3 linked regions of the Arabidopsis thaliana genome follow. The protein of the gene in region 3 binds, or shares a complex with, the protein of the main gene of each other region. Each region holds a gene or a part of one and is shown on either strand. Other genes may lie near its edges.

Region 1 (7,702 bases), on a different chromosome or scaffold from region 3:
GAAGAGTGACATTAAGCAGCTAGCGCCTAAATGTGATGATTGTTTCCATGTACGGAAAACTAGGAAATAGCCGATGGTGTATACGGCGAGGAAGAGGAGGAGAAACGACGGGAAAGTAGCCAGAAAAGACGAAGGATTAAACGACGCCGTTTCCATGGTTCTTGTTTTGAAACTGTTTGAGAGGTTTAAATGTTTAAGTTGGGTTTTTAAACTGAGAGGTGGGAATGATTTGGTGTGGTGATAATGTACAGTGCATCTACGATAGTCATCGTAGTCAACGGATTTGTAGCCGTTGGATTAAGGAGTAAGATTAGTTTTGACGTGCAAGTGTATTAGTGAGCGTGCTTACAAGTTTTGCTCTGGTGCTTATTTGGATATTCTTTTCGTATTAAAGTGATAATATTTGTCAATAAGTAAGATTAAAGAACACTACATGACATTGCAAAATTGAGTTGGTTTACATATACATAAGGTTCTAATGATGGCACTGAATCATTGAATATGCAACATTAATGTAAGAAACAAAACTGGTATGCTCTGTGAATATCTGAATCACAATGATGGAAACATCAACCTTCTGTGAATCTATGAGCACAATTGGGGCAAGTGTAATATGTTGTCTGTCCTTCATCAGCTGATCTCGTCTGCAAATCCGATGAAAACATTTACTTTGAAATTGAAACAAGAAGACAAGAACTTGAAACCACATAATCAAAAAGCTTGAGGACTATACCTGTCTGGTTGTGTATACAAGCTCAGGATGCTGGCATTTCTCGCATGCCTTTTTGATCTGCAAAGAGAAGTATCATCAAAAATTACAAGTCATGGATTCAGAAAAAAACACGTACATAAAAATCTGTTTCGTATAAACAAACCTTTGGTAGCTCAGCTTCTGCCTGCGTTTTTTCACCAAACAATGATATTCCTAGTTCTCTTCTGATATCCTACCAAAAGCAAAGATCATGATGAAATATTCTTGCAAGAATAACAAAACAGTCATCCATTTTTCAGGTCTGAAAGTAATCACATAGCACAGAACTGGTTTTCTACTGTGTGTGTGTATTCATAAGCCTAATAACAATTGACTAACAACACAAATCAAGAGCAGAGAGATTTTTGCTACTCCATGAAACCGAAACAAAATGTATGATGCATACCTCAGCAGAAACTGTGTAAGCTATTTCCTTGTCGATGATATCTGAACGATAAAAGCACAGCAATAAGATTAAACCAACCAAGAAACAAAAACTTTGTTTTGATTTGATGATATCAAGAAAGATTCATCAAAACCTTTTGCATTCCGTGTTGTTTTGCAATGTGGACATTCTGCATACTTGGTTGATTTCAAGACAAGCATAGTCCCACACAAATTACAGAACAAGAACTCGCTTTCTCTAGATTTCTCCATTACAGAACCTTTAACACAATGACACCAAAAAAGAAAAAAACATAACTCATCTCTACATGTCTCAATTGCTTGAAGAAATTTACAAGTAATGAGTAAAAAGATTAAGACGATCCTATGCTCAACAGATGAGTAAAGTAAGCATCTTTAAGCTAAATATCTCCATTAACATCATCTAAAATTTCAAGAGTAGTACTATGAGCATCAAAATCATACTCAGAATCGAAAGTTCGAGACTTTAAATTCCGTTAAAACCCAAAATTATAACTTTAACAAATTTTTACAGTTCTATATACTTCAAATGAGAACTAAAATGGAAAAGGAGAATCATCGAGTACCTTAGATTACAACAGATGCTTTCGCTATCACAGAGCGTCTCGGGAGAGAAGAAAAAAATCGCTAGGGTTTTTGGGATTCAGAGGTAGGAGATGCAGAGATTATAATGGGCTGGATATATGTCTGTTTGGCCCATTAACTTTTCATTTTAGCCCGTTTAGCTAATTATGTCTTTTCTTTTACCAACTCTCTCTAATGATATTTAATTATGATTAAAAATTCCGACAAAGAGAATAATGTTTTATGTCATCAATGGCGTGTATCCGGCAGTTACCAAACACCGGTCCACTCACACCATTTTATTAATGGAATATTTCAATGGAGAATTGGTAATATGTTGTAGAATGAGATCATATTATTCGATTGTTTTCTTTTTTGATATACAAATGTTTTTTTGTTAGACTTAGCATTGTCTCTATCCTAATTTGAATAAGCATATGACTAGTCTTTTGAAAATTTCAGTAAAACGTTTTCCGCAAACTCATCACAAGTTAAGCAGAATCTGAACCGAAATCTAAATGATCAAGTGATATAACATGGAGATTAAATCACTATAAATCGTTATGTAATTTCTTTAAATGATTGCATATTGTGGGATTGAACTTGAAGTTATAGCGATTTTACGCTTTTGGTTCTAATCCAAACCTACTTTGCCACTACACACGGGTTTAATATAGTATTACTTGTGTGTATAATTTTATTTTATTTTGCAAACGAGAAGAAGCCAGAATCAAGTCGTTAACCCATGCCTTTCAATTACCCAATCACCTAAGATTTTTTTTTATATTACTTCCTTTGACAAGTTAATCCACTTCCAAATATACTATAAAGTTGCACATTGACAAGAGGTTTTAGCAGAAGCTAGAAGAAGAAAGGAGAAGAAGAAACAAAGAGAGAAGATGAAGAATGTTATGCTGATTATTGACGAGAGCAACGCAAGTTATGATTTACTCATTTGGGCACTTGAAAACCAAAAAGATACCATTGAGAGCTCCAAAGTTTATATCTTTGCAAAACAGCCACAAAATTCCTTTACTCCTCCTACCGTACTTTCTTCATCAGTCGGCTTTGCTCAAATTTTCTATCCATTTTCACCTAGTAAGTCATTTTATCGACTAATTTGTTGGGAGTTTTCAATAAATATCAAATTTTCTATCCATTTTCACCTAGTACTTTCTTTTGTTGAAAATTGATCAGTTTTTATGTGTGTTTTGCAGATTCAGAACTCATAAGATTGGCTCAAGAAAAGAATATGAAAATTGCTTTGGGTATATTAGAGAAAGCCAAGAAGATATGTTTAAATCATGGGGTAATAATCTATTGACTGAATCATTTAACTTGTTATTAATACAATATCATATATATATTTTTAAATACCAAAGTTTTAAAAGAAAAAAATGAAGTTCTTTTCATGACAACCATTTGTTGCAATATTTTAGTCTCATGATCTCATCATAATCATGTTGAAAACAGATCAAGGCAGAGACATTTACTGATGATGGAGACCCTAAAGATCTAATCCGCAAGATAATTCAAGAACGAAATATCAATTTAATAGTTACGAGCGATCAACAAAGTCTCAAAAAGTAAGAAACATCTTTTAATTTCAAAATATCAGTTAAAAAACTTAGTATTGATGGAAAAGTTGAGATAACAAACATCTTTTAATTAAATGCAGGTGTACACAAAATACAGATTGTTCTCTTCTTGTCGTGAAGAAAAGACTTCGCAAAGATTAAAGATTAAGGAAGTTACAAAATTCACCAATATATATAATTTTCTATGTGGTTAATTGAGATTGTGTAATGATTTGGGGTTGTAGTTTCAGGTGTTGATTTGGGGTTGTAGTTTGAACTTATAATTGTGTTATGTGTATAAATATTTGTGTTTATATATATCAAGTTAGTATAAATACTATAATTTCTTATCGTTTCTTTTATTGGCACTGGTGTCTTGATCATCCCGACTAATTCAGACATGAGCTTATCTGAAAACCCACTTTGGACACAAACGAATTGATACGAACGAGTAACGACTCTTTTATTGAAAACGAAAAGGCCTAAATTTGCTGTGAAAGGCCCAATAAACAATTAAGTGATTATGTAAGACGATGTCGTTTAACTCTTAAGTTTCTCAAGAAAGTTATCTCTCTCTATCTATCTTCCTCAACCTTATCCTTGAAGCTTTGTTTCATCTGTTGTTCCCTGTGACCATGGCTACTCCACTCTCAATCTCATCAAATCCTCTCACCTCCCGCCATTGTTACCGTCTCCACTTATCTTCTACTTCATTCAAGGTAATCTCTCATTCTTCTACAAATGTCAATTTTGAATGAATCCGTAAAATTGGAATTTGAAATGTGTACAGGGAAATGTAAGTGTTTTGGGGGCAAACCCAAGTCAGATTCTATCTCTGAAACTCAACCAAACCCTTAAAACGAGAAACCAACAGCAATTTGCGAGACCCCTTGTTGTGGTTAGCCAAACGGCGGCTACGTCGTCGGCAGTTGTAGCTCCGGAGAGATTCCGTTTGGATAATCTTGGACCACAGCCAGGTTCGAGGAAGAAGCAGAAGAGAAAAGGTAGAGGTATCTCTGCAGGACAAGGAGCAAGTTGTGGTTTTGGTATGAGAGGTCAGAAATCAAGATCGGGTCCTGGGATTATGAGAGGCTTTGAAGGTGGTCAAACTGCTCTTTATCGTCGTCTTCCCAAACTTAGAGGAATCGCTGGAGGTAAAGTTTTGTTTTTGTTTGGTATCCAAGTTTTGTGTAGCCCAAATGTTCGATGAAATGTCTCATCCAAAAGGCTCTGTTTAAATTTGGTGATGCTGCTTTCAGTTTTATTTAGTTAGGGCACATTTGTTTCATAGATTTAATATTGGGTAAGAGAGCCATGAATTGACAACTATGGATCAAGATTGTAGTTAGTGAATAGAGATATTTCATGGTTCGATTTTGCTAATTAGCTCAAACCAATAGAGATATATTTCTGATGCATCGTTGCGTTACTGTGTTCTTTAAACAGGTATGCGTTCAGGATTACCTAAATACTTACCGGTTAATATCAAAGACATAGAAACAGCTGGGTTTCAAGAGGGAGATGAAGTGTCATTGGAGACATTGAAGCAAAAGGGTTTGATTAATCCTTCAGGGAGAGAAAGGAAACTCCCTCTTAAGGTTAGTTTTCCAAACTTGTTGATCCTACTTCTTTCGATTGTGCTTTCGTCTTTTCTTTCTTTATTTAAACGTTTTGATTGGTCTTGGATTTCAGATTCTGGGTACAGGAGAACTAAGCATGAAGCTCACCTTCAAAGCTCGTGCCTTCTCAACACAAGCAAAAGAGAAGCTTGAAGCTTCAGGTTGTACACTCACTGTGTTGCCGGGAAGAAAGAAATGGGTTAAGCCATCTGTTGCAAAGAACCAAGCACGAGCAGATGAATACTTTGCCAAGAAGAGAGCTGCAGCAGCAGAAGCAGCAACTTCAGAGCCAGCAGCCTCTGCTTAAATTACTTCAGTTTCAAGCTCTTTTTAGTGTTGTAAAGCTGCAGAGAAGATAATTGTCTATGACAAATGTTAATTACAATTCCTTTGTCTTTTTGTATGGTGAAGAGATTTACATTTTGTTGTTTGAAGAGTCATTATCAAAAAGATATTTAAACGGTAATGAAATATTGAACATTTTGTTTCCCAATAGTAGAAACTTTTTTCAATCTCCAAAGAAATTTTACATAATAGGGTTTCATAAGTGGGGTTATTACTACAAGGTTTCCCCCATTTTATCATAAACTCCAAAGACCAAATTTCCAAACTGCAGAGCATCACGGTTCTTCTTCTTCATCATCATCATCAATGACAGTTCTTCTTCTAGAACGACGTCTCCGAGTTCCAGACACTTGTTCATCAGAAGATTGATTATTCTCCTCATCTCTAGGTGATGTTCCTGTATTACCTTCATAGCTCTCTCCCCAAAGACTTGCAGGTCTTGAAGATCTTCTTCTCCCACTTGTATGTGTCCTAGCTCTAGATGTACCAGACCAGCTACTACTCCTTGAGCCACTCGATTCTGGTCTAAACACGCGGATGAGAAAGTACACTGTAAGCAAGCGAGTATCAGCAAATAGAAACCCATCATCGTTACTTATTTCATCTCCTCCAAAAGAAGATTGGAGTGTGCTAAGTAAATCCCCTAAATCGCTCTGCCTTTCTAGCCTCCTCCAGCTTCTCTGTCTCTCTGGATCTGCTTCTGATGGCCTAACTCCTGGATGTAGAAGCCTTGCGTGCTTTCTCAGATCGGAATAGCTTCCACTGAAATCACAAGTCTCACAAGAACAGCTTCTATGTTTTGAGTTCATGAAACATCGAGCTGCTTTAACAACTACCCATTCTTTTATATGTCCACGACATAACGGACAAGTAAGCTTTTGTGGTTTGTTTTTTTCTTGATCTTCTTCTGTTGTTACAATTCCTTCTTCTTCTTCTTCTACTACTACTTCTTCTTCTTCTTCTTCTACTTCTTCTTCTCCTCTCTCACCATCACTTAAATCCACAACTGTTATCTCAGATGCAGCTTCTCCTAATAGATTTACAGCAGTTGAGTCTGAATCCACATCTTCCATCTCAGTTGGTTCATTACTTTCCTCTTCCTCACGAAGTAAAGACAAAGAAGGTTTCTCTTTAGAAGCTTTGCGGAACTGATCGAAACAGTTAGAATGCCGATGGCTAGTGTCGCACATGTAAGGTCGACAACCATTTTCATAAGAAGAACAAATGAGAAGAATCCCATTGTGAGGATGTTCCATACAAACAGGACAACGAGCCTCTTCCCATTCCTTAACTTGTTTCTCACTCGGCTTCAAAGCAAGGCTTGCCTCACAACACAGTGGCGATCGTTTATACTTATCAAGAGATACGGACCGTTCTTTCCTCTCTTTCGGCATGTTTTGGAACTAGTAACAAACAAAGTAACCTCCAGGAGGCTAAACCTGCAATAAGTAACCTTCTCATAAGCAACATCAAACTGAAAATTTGTAAATGCTAGTAACAAGCCTGAAAGAGGAATACAGTTCTTAAAAACCAAGATTAGCAAGAGATCTATATGATAAGCTTCAATAGTCATATATACAAATTGCAATCGCACAAAACCTGAGTTCATCGCCTAATCGGATTGAGAAACAGAAGCAAGATAAAAAGTCTAGTCAAGAGATTAACCTAAGCAACGAAAGTTTCAAACTTTGTCAAATCGGATCAGCTAATACTTCAATCAACGAAAAACCCAGATCAAAATGTATTCATAGAAGCAGAAAAAGTGAGAATCGTAAACGCAAATGTTGGAGAAACCCCTATAACGCGAAATGAAGAGAGAGTGAGAGATTCGTACAAGAAGAAGAAGATGAGATCACCGAAAGAGTCTTCGAGAGCTTTGTGGAGATGATCGAATTGATATAACCAATGGAGGAAACCCTAAATCGGGCTCCTCATTGAGAGAGCTAACGAGAAGAGACGAGGAGGATGAGGCGGCTACTTTACTTTACTTTTCTTTTTTCTTCAGAGATATATAAATAATTTAGGAAACTAATAAATAATTTTATTCGGTGTATAAATGTATTTAAGGAAACAAAAATGAAATTAGAAAGCCGATAAAAAAATGAAATTAGAATTTTTTTTTATTAAACTTGTATTTAATTATTATAAACTAATGTTACTTTATACAAAAAAAAAAATTTGAAAACATGTTAGTTAAATTTATTGTTAATTTAAAGCAAAGTGTGTGTAAATGTATTTTATCTATATCTTCAATTCAAAAGATTAGATTTTATTTATTTGTTTGGATTGTAAATTTGTAATTGTACAACTACAATCTATCTCTTCAATATCGGCTAACATAACAAACCGATCCGGTTCAACAGTTGGTATGGCAGGTTATGTGTAAACAGAGTTCAAACCGGTTTAATCATAATAGAGCT
Region 2 (7,402 bases), on a different chromosome or scaffold from region 3:
AGAGAAGTTGACTGACAACATGTCCTCTGAAAATAGTAACGTAATCGGAGAATTTAGTAGTTGGATTTGGAATTGCTTCGTCGATCGGAGCAAAGACTGTGATCTTCGTGTCGTTTCCTGAAGTATTATCTTCTAATTGCAGAGCGAGAAACGTAGCTATAATCACGAAACCTCTCGACATTAACAATCTTGAAGCCGATTCAAAGATGTTGAAGCGATTCACTGGTTTAGATCTATTGGGAAGATTTCGAGTGGAATCCGAAGCGATATTAGGACTTGGAGGTGTTTGAGTCGCTGAGCTAGGGATAGGGATTGAACCAGTAGATGAAGTAGTGCTTGGGATTGAAGAAGAAGATGATGAATCGTCGGAGATTTTCGTCGGTGATGTGAAAAACTCGTCGGATCCGTAAATCACGACGTATCCGTCGTCAAAAACAGGAGAATCTTGGACTACGACGTTGTTGATCGAAGTTTTACCTCCGAATCGTGAAGAATTCGTGACGGTTAGAGAGTAATTAGATCTGAGAGTAGGGATTTTGGCGCCATTTGGGAGGTTTCTTAAGGTTTCTCCTGGGAGTCTCGTCGGAGAGAGCTGGTACTTCATATCGAGAAGCGAAGGTTGACCAAACTTAGAGAAAGATTGATCAGAAGGTGCGAAGAGGGTGAGTTCTTGCCAATCTTCGAGGTTTAGATCTTGATTCGCGAGCTTTAGTGTGAGTCCCATGGATAAGTAGCCGGAATCGGAAAGAACTTCCACGGCGGATGAAACAGATGTCATAGAAGTTGCGACGAGATCGATATCGAGAACGAAAAATATGAGGAAGAAGGTCGTTAGAAGCTTCGACGCCATTGATGCGTTCTTCGAGCTTTTTTTTTCGTTTGGTTTCAGAGAAAAGCCGTTGCAGAGGAAGTTACAGTTTTTATAGTCCGTCCTATTAAGAGAGGGAAAATATTTACTGGGCTTTTTATTCATAGGCCCATGTGTTTTTTTGTCAACAGGCCCATATGTTTTTTTCTTTTTTAGTTTTCAGTTTTTCACATTTTCCCTCCCGCTTCTTTTTCTTATTTCCCTCTCTAAAAACAAGAAAACATTTTTACATTTTCCCTCCTAAATCTCCAAATTTTCAGAATAAATATCTCAATTACAAATCCATGATAATCCACACAACAATAAACACTCATCGATTAAATCTTCTTCACCGGAAAAAATGCCTTCGATGCCAGAGGAACCAATCCTAACACCAACACCAGATCGATTCTGTATGTTCCCAATCCAATACCCACAGATTTGGGAGATGTACAAGAAAGCCGAAGCATCCTTCTGGACAGCCGAAGAAGTCGATCTCTCTCAAGACAATCGCGACTGGGAAAACTCACTAACCAACGACGAACGTCACTTCATTAAACACGTCCTCGCCTTCTTCGCCGCATCAGACGGAATCGTTCTCGAGAATCTCTCAACTAGATTCATGTCCGATGTTCAGATCTCAGAAGCTCGTGCCTTCTACGGATTCCAAATCGCGATTGAGAATATTCACTCCGAGATGTATAGTCTCCTTCTCGACACGTATATCAAAGACAACAAAGAGAGAGATCATCTTTTTCGTGCAATCGAAACCATTCCTTGTGACGAAAAAAGCAGAATGGGCTATGAAATGGATCAACGGATCTCAAAGCTTCGCTGAGAGAATCGTAGCGTTTGCTTGCGTTGAAGGTATATTCTTCTCCGGTAGCTTTTGTTCGATATTCTGGTTGAAGAAACGAGGTTTAATGCCTGGACTCACTTTTTCAAACGAATTGATTTCGAGAGACGAAGGTCTTCACTGTGATTTCGCTTGTTTGATATATAGTCTTCTTAGAACTAAGTTTGATGAAGATCGTTTGAAAGCGATTGTTTGTGATGCTGTTGAGATTGAGAGAGAGTTTGTTTGTGACGCGCTTTCTTGTGCCTTGGTTGGGATGAATCGTGAGTTGATGAGTCAGTACATTGAGTTCGTTGCTGATAGGTTGTTGGCTGCGCTTGGGTGTGGTAAGGTGTATGGTGTGACTAATCCTTTTGATTGGATGGAATTGATTTCGCTTCAGGGTAAGACCAACTTTTTTGAGAAGAGAGTTGGTGAGTATCAGAAAGCTTCTGTTATGTCTAGTGTTCATGGAAACGCTGCGTTTAATGATGATCATGTCTTCAAGCTTGACGAGGATTTTTAGATTTTGCTTACTTGCTTTATTTTTAGTTTTGTAATTTTCAGTATAATGAAAAACAGATGAAGTTTAATTTGATAATGGACATTTAATTTCTTAATTATTTAACATAGTTTTTACATGGTTAACATATAACTAATCCGGATCCTAGTAATTACATGGGTCTACCCAAATCCAAAAAGGATTGGAGCCAATGACTTTGCTATATATTTCGTTCTTAAGAACATTGCTAGGTTTCTAGCTATATTGGTTTTGCCTCTTTATTGGCAGAGGGAGCACAAAGAGAATCCTCCCCTTTCGACATAAAAATGTTATTTTCTCATGGTCTTTTGGATGATTAGCAAGACTTACTCTTAAGTTTTTGCATAAGTATCTTACATCACTTTCTAACTCAACCTTCGAAATATGCATTTGTTTCAAACAATCCAGTGTTCATTTCCAAGTAGGTGTAGTGACTTATGATAAGAAAGCATGTCGATTATGGTAAAAATATTTTAGTGGCTGTTCACAATAATTCTATGAGAGAGAATCATTAGTAGGCAAATTGAATAGGAAACAGACATGATATCAAATTCTTTTGAAGGCAGAAAGAAATGAAAATATAGAAAACATAACTAAAAGAGAATAAACAACCAATTACCATTTACCGTTCCAAAGACCTTCATCGTCGAATTTCAAGAACAATGAAGGTCTTTGAAAGATACTTTTGTCAATAAATATGAAAACCATAAACAATTAGTAGAGATGAGAGATCACTATAACTCTCCTATGACTTTCCATCCAATCAAAAAGAAAAGTTTGTGTCCATGTCTCTATAACTCTATCCAACTTCTTTAAGATAAGATCATTTTCTCGCTTATTACACCAAGTATACAGCGGACCATGGGATGATAGGTCTCAAACAAAGCAATAGTTTACCACTGATTGAAAGTCTCTCATTCCATTGGTATAATAGGGTTGTCTTCAGCTCTAGAATGCTCCACAAGTTCTAAAATCTCATTAAAATCTCCAAACATTATTTAAGGCTTGCTACTAATGACAGGAGAGTCATAGTGATCTCTCATCTTGTTCATAATACTTTTTTCTCCTCTAACCAACTAGACAGTCTATGAAACTCAAATAATATAATTTTTAATTTTCGGTCAAAACTGTAAAAACATGTCAAAATCAAATAATATTTTTTTTTTGCCAAATCAGAAAATTACATTTTTCCGCCAATGTAAAAATAATTTTTAGAGTGACATTGTCAGTATAAATCCTAATTTATGTTTTAATATTATAGCTAAAGTCTATAATTATTTTTGGCTGCTTCTTGCATATTATTATTCTAAGTTTGGTTTTTGTTTTTATCTGAGAAATTTCTACTATATAATGAATATTTGAAACTGTAGTCTATATATTTAGATTTAATATTTTATACAACAAGTTGATATGGCCGAGTTGGTCTAAGGCGCCAGATTAAGGTTCTGGTCCGAAAGGGCGTGGGTTCAAATCCCACTGTCAACATTCACTTTTTTCTCTTTTTCCATTATTTACTTGCTGACGTGTACTCACCTTATCTTACATTATTTGATGACGTGTAATTTTAGTGGTCACTAATCGAGAGAGTGAGACGAAACGATAAGGAGAAGAACTTCTTCTTCAACCTCAGAAAACCCTAATTTCTCCATTTCGAAACTCCAACGAATTCTCTGGTGATTTTACCAATGGCGATGGCAACATCGATGAGTTTGAATCTAATTGGGGCATTCAAAGGCTTGTCTCTTTCTTCGACTTCGTCTTTTCTTAGAGGCGATTTGAGTTTTTCCCCCAAAACCTCTTTCACGGTGACTCTTCCTCTGGAAAATCTTCAAGCTCCGATTCCGTTGACAATTGAATCGGCCCATAAGAAAGGAGCTGGTAGCACCAAGAACGGTCGTGATTCTCCTGGGCAACGACTCGGCGTCAAGATCTACGGTGACCAAGTTGCTAAACCTGGTGCTATCATTGTTCGTCAACGTGGCACTAAGGTAACACTTAAGAACACAGAATTGTTGAAATTGAGAACCTCTTAAGCTCCTCTTTCAATTCTCTTCTAATTTCACCGCAACTCTGTCAATTTGGTCAGTTTCTTATGGGTTTAGCTCTCAAGCTCTGTTTTCAGATTCCATTCTCGAACACATCTGGGTTTAGGATGAATTTTCGTATTTAGTAGCTCTTGTTTCTGATGCCATTGCCATTTCTCTGGAAGTTCTACGTTATGTTTGTGTTTAGGATGGAACTATATTGTTTGAGAAGATTGATTCATGAATGGTGATGTTTGGTGCAGTTCCATGCTGGGAAAAATGTTGGGATTGGTAAAGATCATACCATCTTCTCTTTAATCGATGGATTAGTCAAGTTCGAGAAGTTTGGTCCTGACAGGAAGAAGGTATACCTGTAGTTATACTGAGTAAGGTTTATAAGCTTTCTTAATCTTCTAGGATGTTAAAGGAAATGAGACTTGTTTTTGCAGATAAGTGTGTATCCAAGAGAAATTGTACCAGAGAATCCCAATAGCTACAGAGCAAGAAAGAGAGAAAACTTCAGATTGCAAAGGGAGAAGAAGAAGGCGAGACGCGAGAATTACTCGTACACACTTCCTACACCAGAACTTGTTCTTGCATCTGCCTCAGTCGATGATGCTGAAGCCAATCCGGAGTGCTAGAAGATTGAATGTGGAGTTTCCTTGTCTCTTTTTGTTTAGTCTTGTTTATGAAAAATGATCCTTTCAGAGTATTAAGAGTTGGTTGTATTGTCGAATCCAAGCCTCTCTTTTGTCAAATTGAGTCCCAAGCAGGCGGATTTTTACCCAACTTGAGTTATTAGTGTAATCAAATGGTTATTGTTAATTAGTCAAAGCCTCAAAGGTTTTAATTTAGTGAATTTCTCTTCCAACTTAGTAATTCTGAATCATTGATAAGAGAGACCACCAAACCTTTGAATGCCCCAATTAGATTTAGTCAAGTATAAATCTAGTTCAAGTGTCTATTTGAGGTTTTTTTATTATAAAAATTATAAAACTTATTTGGATCCCAAAAATGGATCCATTGTTAGTCTAAGAAGCCGAAGACTTTATGGGCCTTCTAGCGAAATAATGGGTTTTAGCCCAATTACTTAGCATTTCGGAATATGTAGATAGTGGTACAAAAAAGAAATTGAATAATATTCATTTTCGTCTATCATTGCATAATTAGTGGAATGAAATTATTATTCTATGTTTTTTTTTTTTCATTTATCTATATCTTGCTCATCTTGAATCCATCAATTTCGCTAACGTTTTACCTGTACCATATTAGATCCTTTGTGTTATCTTTAGGCCATATTTCACCAGCTTGAGGTCAAATACTTATACACATGTATGTAACGATATATATATGTAAGATGACGATATATTATTGAATAACACTAAAGGCCTAGAGCAAAAATAGTAATTGATGAGAAGTTTTAAATTCTAGGAGCAGTAATTAAGAAGAAGAACAAAGACAAATCCTAAAACAAAGCATATCAGTAGTAAAACCTTGTAGCACAAAGCAGAGAGGCACATACATGAGTGTAATAAATGAGCTATGCATAGACATGGACGTTGAGAACAACGAGAAAGAGGATAAGAAAGAGACCATAGAGAACAGTGTGAACGAAAATAGAAGCTACCGTCGTCTTCATGTTCATGAAACCCACCGGAGATTCTTTCCCCGGAAACTGCAGTATCAACCCTGGCGACAGAAACGCGAACAAAGCCGAAGCTATCAACGGTGCAGCCCAATCATGCATCTCTTCTTACAAGAACAAGAACAAAAGAAAAAGAAAAAGAGAAATGGAGAAAGAAAGAAGAGAGTGGGAAATAGGTTTGGATGGGTGAAAAAGGAGATGATGGAATTGTGAGAATGAGAATCTGATAAAGTCTAGTTCTTTACAATTAAAGGAAGAGAGAGATTTTTTGGAATTTTGCTTTAGGTGAGGTGTCTTAATTTAATCGTAATTGGCTATCGAAGGAGAGTTTGAATTTGAAACGATTCTAGCTTAAGCATATCAAATGCTCGATTGTATTAGAATAAACATGGTTTGAGCTGTATATCTATTCTATGCGGTTTGAGCGGTTTGAGCGGTTTAACCAATTTACGTGGTGCAGTTTTGCCTTTGGAAGAATAACTTTCAATAATATAATTGTACTCTGTTTTACAATTAAGCAATGTAAAAACAGAAGAAAAATAAACAATGTATGTAATTTGTAGAGAAACGGTTCTATGTCACATTCAAAATCCTATGTGATTCACATGAATAGCGACATATCTTTCGGTGATCAATAAATGTACACGCCACTTTTCGAAATACGTTTGGAGGAATTTTGTTATTTTATTACTTGGAATGTATTCTTGATTAGTAGAATTTGTTTGACTTGAGAAGACTAAATTAGATTACAAGTAACGGGTCCACCACTTGCTAAGCGACCAATATATTCCGTAAGAAGAGAACAATATTTCTCCACTTTTTTTTCCTACTAAAAACAAAAATTCAACTTTTTTATATAGTTATTGTACACTTTTCATATCTCCAAAATTTAGTATTTATAATTTTTTTTGGTGACTATAAAATCAAGACGATATAAATCTTAGTAATTTGTTTGACAAATATATTTTTTCCATCCCGAAATGCTAATCTTTTTACTTTCTAGTGGGCAATATATACGAGATTATCTCAAAATTGTAACAAAAAATAATAATGTTGGAATTAACTCAAAATAAATATGAAGAAAATAAAATAAGAATTGGGCTTAGCTCAGCTTTTCTTCTTTGTTTCAACTTTCAAGTCTCTGTTTTTGACTCTTTTACTCTCTCTCACGAGTCACGCCACCGCTTTATCGAAAAAAGGCGTCTGCTTTTACGTTTTCTACTTCACAGCAATGGCGGATTGGGCTCCAGTTCTCGTCGGAGTTGTATTATTCGTTATCCTTTCTCCGGGACTTCTTTTCTCGTTGCCCGGACATCACCATACTCTCCAATTCGGCGGCATGAAAACCAACGGCAAAGCCATCGCCGTTCACACACTCATCTTCTTCGCTGCTTACACCATCTTGATCCTCGCTGTCAATCTCCACATCACTACCGGCTAATTTATGGGCCGAAATAAAGGTAACCCTTTTGCTGAATCTGAGCTCTCTCCCTCTCAGGAATCTTCTGAG
Region 3 (9,014 bases):
GTTTCCTTGCATTCTTGCAGAAGCTCTTGATTGTTGGTTTTGGGATGCTGCTCGGATCTCGACCGATTTTCTTTAAAATGTTTTTAACTCGTTCCTCAATGACAAGAAAATCAGCCTCGGCTTTGGCTAAATAGATTTTCTGCAAATTGATATAGTGTCTGCAAAGAGAAACCATACAGCTACATAACCAATGTGAAAAATAGACTGAGGGTGAATTTCAGTGCCATAGAGGCAAGTGCACTAACTCTGTTGAAGAGGTCATATCTGGTATAGAACCTTCAAGGGGTGCCTCTCCACCACCTTCATTTAAAACAAACTCCTGCAGGTGGTTATGTACGATTATGATTTCAATCAAAATGAGTTGCAGTTTGCACTTCCTAAATGAACATAAAATTATGAGTTCTGGCAGAGCAGGTTTCAAGTTTCAAACCTTCAGAGCCGCTACCATCACCCAAAAAGCTGAGGAGTTTGAATTCACTTCAGCACAACTATCATTAATTAATTTTTGAACCTCTGAGCCTGGAAGAGAAAACAGGTTTGGTTCAACATGAAGAATACTGTGATTTGACCCGTGACAGAGCTTTCTGTTAGTTTAGCTCCAATATCAACAATCGCTACACCTATTAACTCAACCATGGAAACAGTAAACATTCTAAGTCAAGTTTCTACCTAGACCAAACAAGATATCTACTTACTGATTCCTCGAGGAGCAAAAACTTTGAAAGCGGCTTCAATGGCTTCTTTGTAGTTATCTTCATCCGTAGATACCATCTTGGACTTAACCAAATCCTAAGAATTCAAGGATATAGATAATTAAAACAAGAAAGCAAGCTCGCTAATAAATTTTATAAGTTACAAAAAAGAACTAAACCTTAAACTCTTTTTTCTCTTCCCTGGTTGAGGGAAGATTACCACTATGGGATTGAGCCCACTCCTCAGCCATCTTTACAAGAATGACGACGTAAGGTATGTGCTTATGTGCAGCGGCCGGCTCTGATACATTCAGATCAATGGTCTCCACAAAACTGCCGTTCATTAAATAATTAAGAATATCAGTAAGTACTCAGTCGTCCATCCACAACCATAATGTTAAAGGATGCCAGAACAACATAAAGTGAGAGGATATGAGAGCAGTGGACCTCTTGAGTTCAGGCCATGGATTATTCAGGCGGAGGTCGTCAAGAAAATGATCAGGTTTTGAGTCAATTATGGGGTGCTCCTGATAAAAAAGAAAAGAAGAGAGCTTAGCATATATTCTCATTGGCCAATATCCTAACCACGGCATACCACAAAGTAATCTAAACTTTATCACAAATTGGGTCTAGACAGGTGGTATTAATTACCTTTACAGAGATGCGAACAAACCCAGCAAGGCCATAAGAGCGAACCAAAACCAACTTAACGTTTGCATCTCGACAGATTCTATCAAGTTTCAACATTGAATCTTCCACCAGCTGCAACCAATCAATGTCGAAAAGGGGATGAAATAACGAACTTAAATAACAATAACACAGGAAAAAGAAGCCTAATAAAGCAATATCCCGTGAAGAGGACGAGGAAAAGTACATATGAGAAACTAACTAAAGAACATTGAATAGAAGGTATCATGATCCATGGTGAGTGACTGTGTAAGCAAAGATTAGAACTTTGAAAAATTGTAACACACAAATCATTAGAGAAGATTACAAATAGAAAAACAATGGTACCTGAGTGGCTATAACGAGAGTGAACTGAGAGAAGAAAGATGGGTTAGTAGTAATCAACGTGTCTGGATTCTCCTCAATAAACTTGGCGTTAACAGAATCATTAAGCTCTTGGAGAAACGCACAAACAGATTTGGCTTTTGATTGGCCAACACTCTTCGCATCGACTTCACATGAAAAAAAAAAATCATCATAACGCAAGCAAGTCCCCCAAAACCCCCAGAAGAAACACAATCAAAAAGTTTCAAAATTAGTCAGTACCCATGAAATTGTTCCCAAGGTCACCAAATTGAACCTTAGATCCATCAACAACGGTGATGCTACCAACACCACCAAGTACGAGATTCTTCAAAGCCTCGGAACCAGTAGGGCCACAATTGAGTAAACAGATACTCGCTTCTTCCAAGGCCGCTTGACCTACCTCCCCCCAAATCCTAATCAGTCAACCCAACGATTACTACTTCATCAATTTTCCTCCCGACAAGAGTAGTTCGAAGTAGAGTTTAAGGAAAAAGAGTATGTATACCTGAGCTGACGATCGTACTTGGTTTTAGGTTCTACCATTGTTGGCTCTTCTTCAACATGTCTCCTGGATCTTTTTACTGCTTGCATCTTCGCAGCTCAAGCGAGAGACGATTTTTGCCTCCGGTGAACTGATAAACAAAAAGACTTTTCTTCAATCAGGGTTTTTGTTTATTTCCGAATATTTTATTGTTTTTAGGAAATTTATCGTTTGAAAAAAGTTATCTACCAAATTAAAAAATCGATATTAATATCTTACTGATTTTTTATATATATAAGCAAATAAGAAAATTTTGTAAATATTTTTTTTAAAAAAAAATTGTGAAAAAGAAGAAGATATAAGCAAATAAGAATAATCACCATGATATTGTTTTTTGTTTTATTTCCGACTATTATTATTCTTATAGGAAATTTTCGTTTTTTAAAAAGTTATCTACCAAATTAAGAATACAGATATTAATATCTTACTGTTACGATTTTTTAGATATAAGAAAATAAGAAAATTTGTAATTAAAAAAAAGAAGAATAGATTAAAAAATTGTTTTAAAAAGTTTATCTACCATGATTTTTGTCCGATTTGGATTGGTTTGGTTCAATAAGGAAACATAACAATAGAATCACACCGATGAGGCACTTTGTGCCCAAGTTCTTGTTCAATCAAAGCACTAAAGAAATTTTTGTCAGAGCATCAAAAACAATTAATGGGTTCCTTTAAAAACTTACTCAAGAATCCCAACACAAACATCTTCATTTCTAAACAAATTTGAGCAAATACACATAAACATTGAAAGGAAGAGATAAGTAAGTAGATAATAATGAAAAATGAAGATCATTTCTTCTTTCCAGCTTTTCCTTCCTTCCTCCGAACTATCTCATCGGAATACTTGACTCCTTTCCCCTTGTATGGCTCTGGTGGCCTCCACTTCCTAACCGTTGCAGCAAACTGCCCGATTTCGCTCTTGTCGTATCCACTCACAGTGATTCTTGTGTTCTCTTCCACTTTCACTTTCAGACTATCCGGTATCTGCATCTTCACCGGGTGTGAAAACCCGAGATTTAGCACCAGCTCCTTTCCGTCTACTGTTGCACGATAACCAACACCCACAAGTATAAGCTTTTTCTCAAATCCCTTTGATACTCCCACAACCATGTTATCGGTAAGCGTCCTAAAAGTCACACAGAAGTTAAAAAAAAAGATTAGAGAACAAACGATCTTTTAACCTCAAAAAAGTTAAGGACTTCATTGGATGACAAGAAAAGATGAGAAGTTTGTAACCTGAAAAGGCCGTGCATTTGGTTGGCTCTTCTAGTTTCGACGGTTTTTTTGACCCTTAAGAAACCGGATTCTTCCTTTGTAAGCTCAACTTCGCGTGGGTAAGTTAAAGCCAGCTCTCCTAATGGACCCTTCACTTTCAAGTCTTGACCTTCCAATGCAATGGTTACATTGGAAGGTACAGCGATCGGTTGCTTTCCTATCCTTGATTCTTTGCACTCAATGGTCTTACTGGAGTAACCCACTTGAGCAAAAGGTGTGCTTGAGACCTTGAACACATTTCTATCTCCCAAAAATGCTGACCTAAAACAAAGGGGAAGTTATCTATCTATCTTCAGATAAAACATGTCAAGAAAGTAAAACTCTACCAGATATATATCTAAACCAATACACAGAAACTGTTATTGGAACAAAGATAACGTTAGATTAAGGAAGAGAAACATTCTTGTAGAACTTTCAGTTTCCATGGCTAAAAACCCCTCTAGAATCCTGCTTTTTACACAGTGAGTTCCGCATAACACATTCAAATTCCCAAAATAAAAATCCACAATTTCAAGAGTCCATAACCAATTCAACATTGCCATCGATTTAAAAAGATAAAAATAACCCATTCAAAGAGATTCCTTATACTTGGGAGGCTCATGAACACAGTTTATAGAGATTTTTGAGTAGAAAATGCCAAGTAAAGAAAACGAAACCCTAGCGGAATGAAGAAGCTCTATGGTTTGTAGTATATGAAAAGTACCTGGGTTGAAAAGATGAGACGAGTGAGGAAGCCATTGATAAGATTTGATGATGGAGCTCTAAGCTCTGCTCCAGAAGGAGGATGAAGAGAAGAAGAAGAGCGTTTTATCCAGAAAAGACTTATCCATCGTCAGCTTCTGTAATCCCCTCTTTCAAATCATTACTTTCACGGCCCATTAGCTCACTATTTTCGGCCCATTACTTTTAACCATCCTTCTGTGGGACAATTCATTATTTGTGTAACCCATTTATCTATATTGATCATGGCCTATTATCTCACTGTTTCTAGGCCCATTATTATAATAACTGTTCACAAAATTTACCCAATGAACGTGGAGTTTGGATTAGATTAATGAAGTCAATAGATTATTAGTAGATGCGTTTGGATCAAAATTGTGCATCTTTCCCGATTAAGTATGTTTTCAAGTCGAATCTTTTAAAGGCATGGATTTTAAACTACTCTTAACAGACAAATTTAAAAATGAAATGGGCCCTTACCCTCAGAAAAATCCAAACAACAAATTGAGAAGATTCAAAGAAAAAAAAGATGAACTGTATATTTATTTTCCTGGTTCACATTTCATTTGGTCAAGATATTCTTGTTCTAAATAAATAAAAAGTTCGATACCGACAAGATATTTGTGGATTCAGTGGCATATTTTATTTTGTGTTAACAATTAACAAATGAAAATTTCAATAAGGAACTATGTAATAACAAATGCAGCTCTTATAAGTTTTTTTTAATAACATTCCTTAATGAACACTCTAAAGACAAAAAATAGTCGACCATGTGTTTCATGCACCTTTTATCATATGAAATCAATAGTACAATTACTTTACTATTTATGTCTGAAAATATCTTTTTCTTTTCTTTTTTTTTTGTGTGAAATTGATTTGACAACCGTTGAGGAGACTTATTCTTTGACGAAGGCGGCCTTGGAGCAATTAGGTCGTCACTCCTCACATTCACATTTTCAATTATTATTTTGCCTCATGTCATACGTAGTTACCCTAATTACCATTTAACTATATCCGTTGTAACCAAAAAGAAAAATGCATCAACTACCTTAATAAATGATAGTTACCAATAAGAGCCAACGTAAAAATTTGATTTATCGAATAGTATGAGGACACAAGTAAAGCATCGATCATACTACCCCACACCTTGGCCTACGTCTTCACTGACCACTCCAGAAATAGCACTCCAAAACAAAATTTACAAAATTTCATAAAATACCAAAAAAATAAGTAATGATAAGGAAGAAAATAGGGAAAAAAAAGGAGAGAGAATATTATGAATTATTCTTTGCTTGAGCTCAGAAACAGTTCTTCTTCTGCTTCTTCGACTTCTTTTCTCTGTCTTTCTTCTTTATGCTTAGTGCTAAATCACTCGTTTACTTGTGAAGATTATGGATCTCTGATTAAAGTTTGTTTCTCGTATTTATTCCAAGGTTGCTTCTTCTTTTTCTCAATTGGATCTTTTAATTTTTGTTTTTCTTTATGTTCTTACATATATAATCTTTAGTTATTTGTTCATTGAATTATTTATTACACTTTTTGCTTCTTTCTCTGCGAACCATCTTTAAGACGGCCCTCTTACACTTCATTATTTTCAGTTCTTACTTGCACATGTAAAGCACCAGTTTCTAGAATCAAAGGGCCTCATATAAATACATTATTTTATACACTATAAATAAATATACAGACACAAAAATCTGTATACACCAATCTCTCTACAGAATCTAACTCCCGATTTCTTGGTTGGTTTTGCCTTCTTTCACCAGATTTCTGGACCATCTTTTTTGTCTTTTGTTATAATCTCAATTTTGATTCAGGTTGGGCATTGTTTATTTCGCAGGTGTTACTCCAAATAAATCAAATGGTTATATGAGACCAGGACAAAGAAAAACTAGTGCTTTTGCTGGAAATTGTGATAAAGATGGGATTTTTGGTGATGATAAGAGAAGTTTCCATGGCGAAAGCAATCAGAGTTGTGTTGTTATGTGTTTCTGTCTTGTGGGTTGTTCCAAAGGAATGTGCTTGTAGAAGTAATTTCTCTAGAAACTCGTCTTCTTCTTCTTCTTCTTCTTTGCGGCCATTAAGACAGAGGCCAAGCTCTGTGAATGTTGGAGCTCTGTTTACTTATGATTCTTTTATCGGAAGAGCGGCTAAACCCGCGGTTAAAGCAGCTATGGATGATGTTAATGCTGACCAAAGTGTTCTTAAGGGCATCAAGCTTAATATCATCTTTCAAGACTCAAATTGCAGTGGATTTATCGGCACCATGGGAGGTATATATACTGCTTCTCCTTCTTCTTCTCTCTTACTACTGTGGCCAACTTTTTAACTCAGAACTAGTTTGTGAAAATGCCCCCAAAGAATGAGTGATGATTATGTTTCATCTTATGGTGTAGCTTTGCAGCTGATGGAAAACAAAGTGGTTGCAGCCATTGGTCCACAATCTTCAGGGATTGCTCACATGATCTCCTATGTAGCTAATGAGCTTCATGTACCTCTCTTGTCATTTGGAGCAACGGATCCGACTCTCTCCTCTCTGCAATTTCCTTATTTCCTCCGCACCACGCAGAATGATTACTTCCAAATGCATGCGATCGCAGATTTTCTATCATATTCCGGATGGAGACAAGTCATTGCGATATTCGTTGATGATGAGTGTGGCAGGAACGGGATATCTGTCCTTGGCGATGTATTAGCCAAGAAACGCTCGAGGATCTCTTACAAGGCTGCAATTACTCCTGGTGCAGATTCTAGCTCCATCAGAGACTTGTTGGTTTCTGTTAATCTGATGGAATCTCGGGTTTTTGTTGTCCATGTGAATCCTGACTCTGGTTTAAACGTTTTTTCTGTGGCTAAATCTCTTGGAATGATGGCAAGTGGTTATGTTTGGATCGCAACAGACTGGCTTCCTACAGCTATGGATTCCATGGAGCACGTGGATTCAGACACGATGGATCTCTTGCAAGGAGTGGTTGCTTTTCGCCACTACACAATCGAGAGTAGTGTCAAAAGACAGTTTATGGCGAGATGGAAGAATCTTAGACCAAATGATGGCTTTAACTCTTATGCGATGTATGCTTATGATTCTGTTTGGTTAGTTGCTCGTGCCCTCGATGTTTTCTTCAGAGAAAACAATAACATAACTTTCTCCAACGATCCAAATCTGCACAAAACAAATGGTAGCACTATTCAGCTATCAGCACTAAGTGTTTTCAATGAAGGAGAGAAGTTTATGAAGATCATTCTTGGGATGAATCATACTGGTGTGACGGGTCCAATCCAGTTTGATTCAGATAGAAACCGGGTTAATCCGGCTTATGAAGTTCTAAACTTAGAAGGTACAGCTCCACGCACAGTCGGGTACTGGTCAAATCATTCGGGTCTCTCTGTGGTCCATCCAGAGACCTTGTACTCTAGGCCTCCAAACACATCTACAGCAAACCAGCGTCTTAAAGGAATCATATATCCAGGAGAAGTAACTAAGCCTCCTCGTGGTTGGGTGTTTCCTAATAATGGAAAACCGCTCAGAATCGGGGTGCCTAACCGTGTGAGCTATACAGATTACGTTTCTAAGGATAAAAACCCGCCTGGCGTTAGAGGCTACTGCATTGATGTCTTTGAAGCCGCTATTGAATTGCTTCCATATCCTGTTCCACGTACTTATATACTATATGGAGACGGGAAGAGAAATCCTTCTTATGATAACCTCGTCAATGAAGTTGTTGCGGATGTGAGTAGCTACATTACTCAATCAAGTTCACAACTTTCAGAAGATGCTAACCTGTCTTTTCTCATGTTTCCTCTTCAGAATTTTGATGTAGCTGTAGGAGATATCACAATCGTCACAAACAGAACAAGATATGTAGATTTCACACAACCGTTTATAGAATCAGGGCTTGTGGTGGTGGCTCCGGTTAAGGAGGCCAAGTCTAGTCCTTGGTCATTCCTGAAACCATTCACTATAGAGATGTGGGCTGTCACTGGAGGCTTCTTTCTCTTTGTGGGAGCCATGGTCTGGATTCTCGAACACCGCTTCAACCAAGAATTCCGTGGCCCTCCTAGGCGTCAACTCATTACCATCTTCTGGTTAGTTTCCCAGTTCTTAACACTAGAGCCCGAGTTTACCTTTTAAACCTTATTTTCCTTCTCCTCTTCACTGTTACAGGTTTAGCTTCTCAACAATGTTCTTCTCTCATAGTAAGTACGCTATAATTCGAGTAACCTGGTAGATTTTCACACCAGGGCTTACAGAATGTTGGAGGGAAGTAAAGTGTTTTTACTTTATAACTTTTGAATCTTTCAGGGGAGAACACGGTGAGTTCACTGGGGAGGTTTGTGCTGATCATTTGGTTATTCGTGGTTCTGATCATCAACTCGAGCTACACGGCCAGTCTCACTTCGATCCTAACCATTCGACAGCTGACATCTCGGATTGAAGGAATAGATAGCTTGGTAACGAGCAATGAACCAATTGGAGTTCAAGACGGTACCTTTGCTCGGAACTATCTAATCAACGAGCTTAACATACTACCTTCAAGGATTGTTCCTCTGAAAGACGAAGAACAGTACCTTTCTGCTCTGCAACGCGGTCCCAACGCTGGCGGTGTGGCAGCCATTGTAGATGAGCTTCCTTACATCGAAGTTCTTTTGACAAATAGCAACTGCAAATTCCGTACAGTAGGGCAAGAGTTCACACGCACAGGCTGGGGTTTCGTATGTAAAATCGGTTTTGAGAAACTTACCTTCAAATATAT

The links.
Region 1: emb2394 (region 3) and RPL15 share a complex: the UniProt entries of both Arabidopsis thaliana proteins name them as parts of the 50S ribosomal subunit.
Region 2: emb2394 (region 3) and RPL27 share a complex: the UniProt entries of both Arabidopsis thaliana proteins name them as parts of the 50S ribosomal subunit.

What each region holds. Positions count from the first base shown.
Region 1 is NC_003074.8:9,488,810-9,496,511, reverse strand, and holds RPL15 (ribosomal protein L15), read left to right. Parts: upstream 1-3,856; 5' UTR 3,857-3,953; coding exon 3,954-4,037; intron 4,038-4,108; coding exon 4,109-4,472; intron 4,473-4,764; coding exon 4,765-4,916; intron 4,917-5,010; coding exon 5,011-5,244; 3' UTR 5,245-5,457; downstream 5,458-7,702. Other genes in the region: AT3G25950 (TRAM, LAG1 and CLN8 (TLC) lipid-sensing domain containing protein), read right to left, coding at 1-156; AT3G25940 (TFIIB zinc-binding protein), read right to left, coding at 570-644, 734-790, 876-944, 1,158-1,198, 1,291-1,408; AT3G25930 (Adenine nucleotide alpha hydrolases-like superfamily protein), read left to right, coding at 2,641-2,839, 2,959-3,050, 3,215-3,327, 3,420-3,480; AT3G25910 (MAP kinase kinase kinase, putative (DUF1644)), read right to left, coding at 5,558-6,676.
Region 2 is NC_003076.8:16,406,958-16,414,359, forward strand, and holds RPL27 (ribosomal protein large subunit 27), read left to right. Parts: upstream 1-3,824; 5' UTR 3,825-3,908; coding exon 3,909-4,211; intron 4,212-4,510; coding exon 4,511-4,612; intron 4,613-4,696; coding exon 4,697-4,888; 3' UTR 4,889-5,157; downstream 5,158-7,402. Other genes in the region: FLA20 (putative fasciclin-like arabinogalactan protein 20), read right to left, coding at 1-973; AT5G40960 (transmembrane protein, putative (DUF 3339)), read right to left, coding at 5,788-5,994; AT5G40970 (hypothetical protein (DUF 3339)), read left to right, coding at 6,943-7,350.
Region 3 is NC_003070.9:1,499,461-1,508,474, forward strand, and holds emb2394 (Ribosomal protein L6 family), read right to left. Parts: upstream 4,394-9,014; 5' UTR 4,279-4,393; coding exon 4,244-4,278; intron 3,802-4,243; coding exon 3,502-3,801; intron 3,392-3,501; coding exon 3,055-3,391; 3' UTR 2,791-3,054; downstream 1-2,790. Other genes in the region: AXR1 (NAD(P)-binding Rossmann-fold superfamily protein), read right to left, coding at 1-158, 246-319, 431-519, 696-789, 872-1,025, 1,140-1,219, 1,344-1,454, 1,707-1,870 and 2 more; GLR3.4 (glutamate receptor 3.4), read left to right, coding at 6,182-6,533, 6,657-7,990, 8,069-8,346, 8,426-8,457, 8,564-8,973. UniProt on the Arabidopsis thaliana protein: This protein binds directly to 23S ribosomal RNA and is located at the aminoacyl-tRNA binding site of the peptidyltransferase center.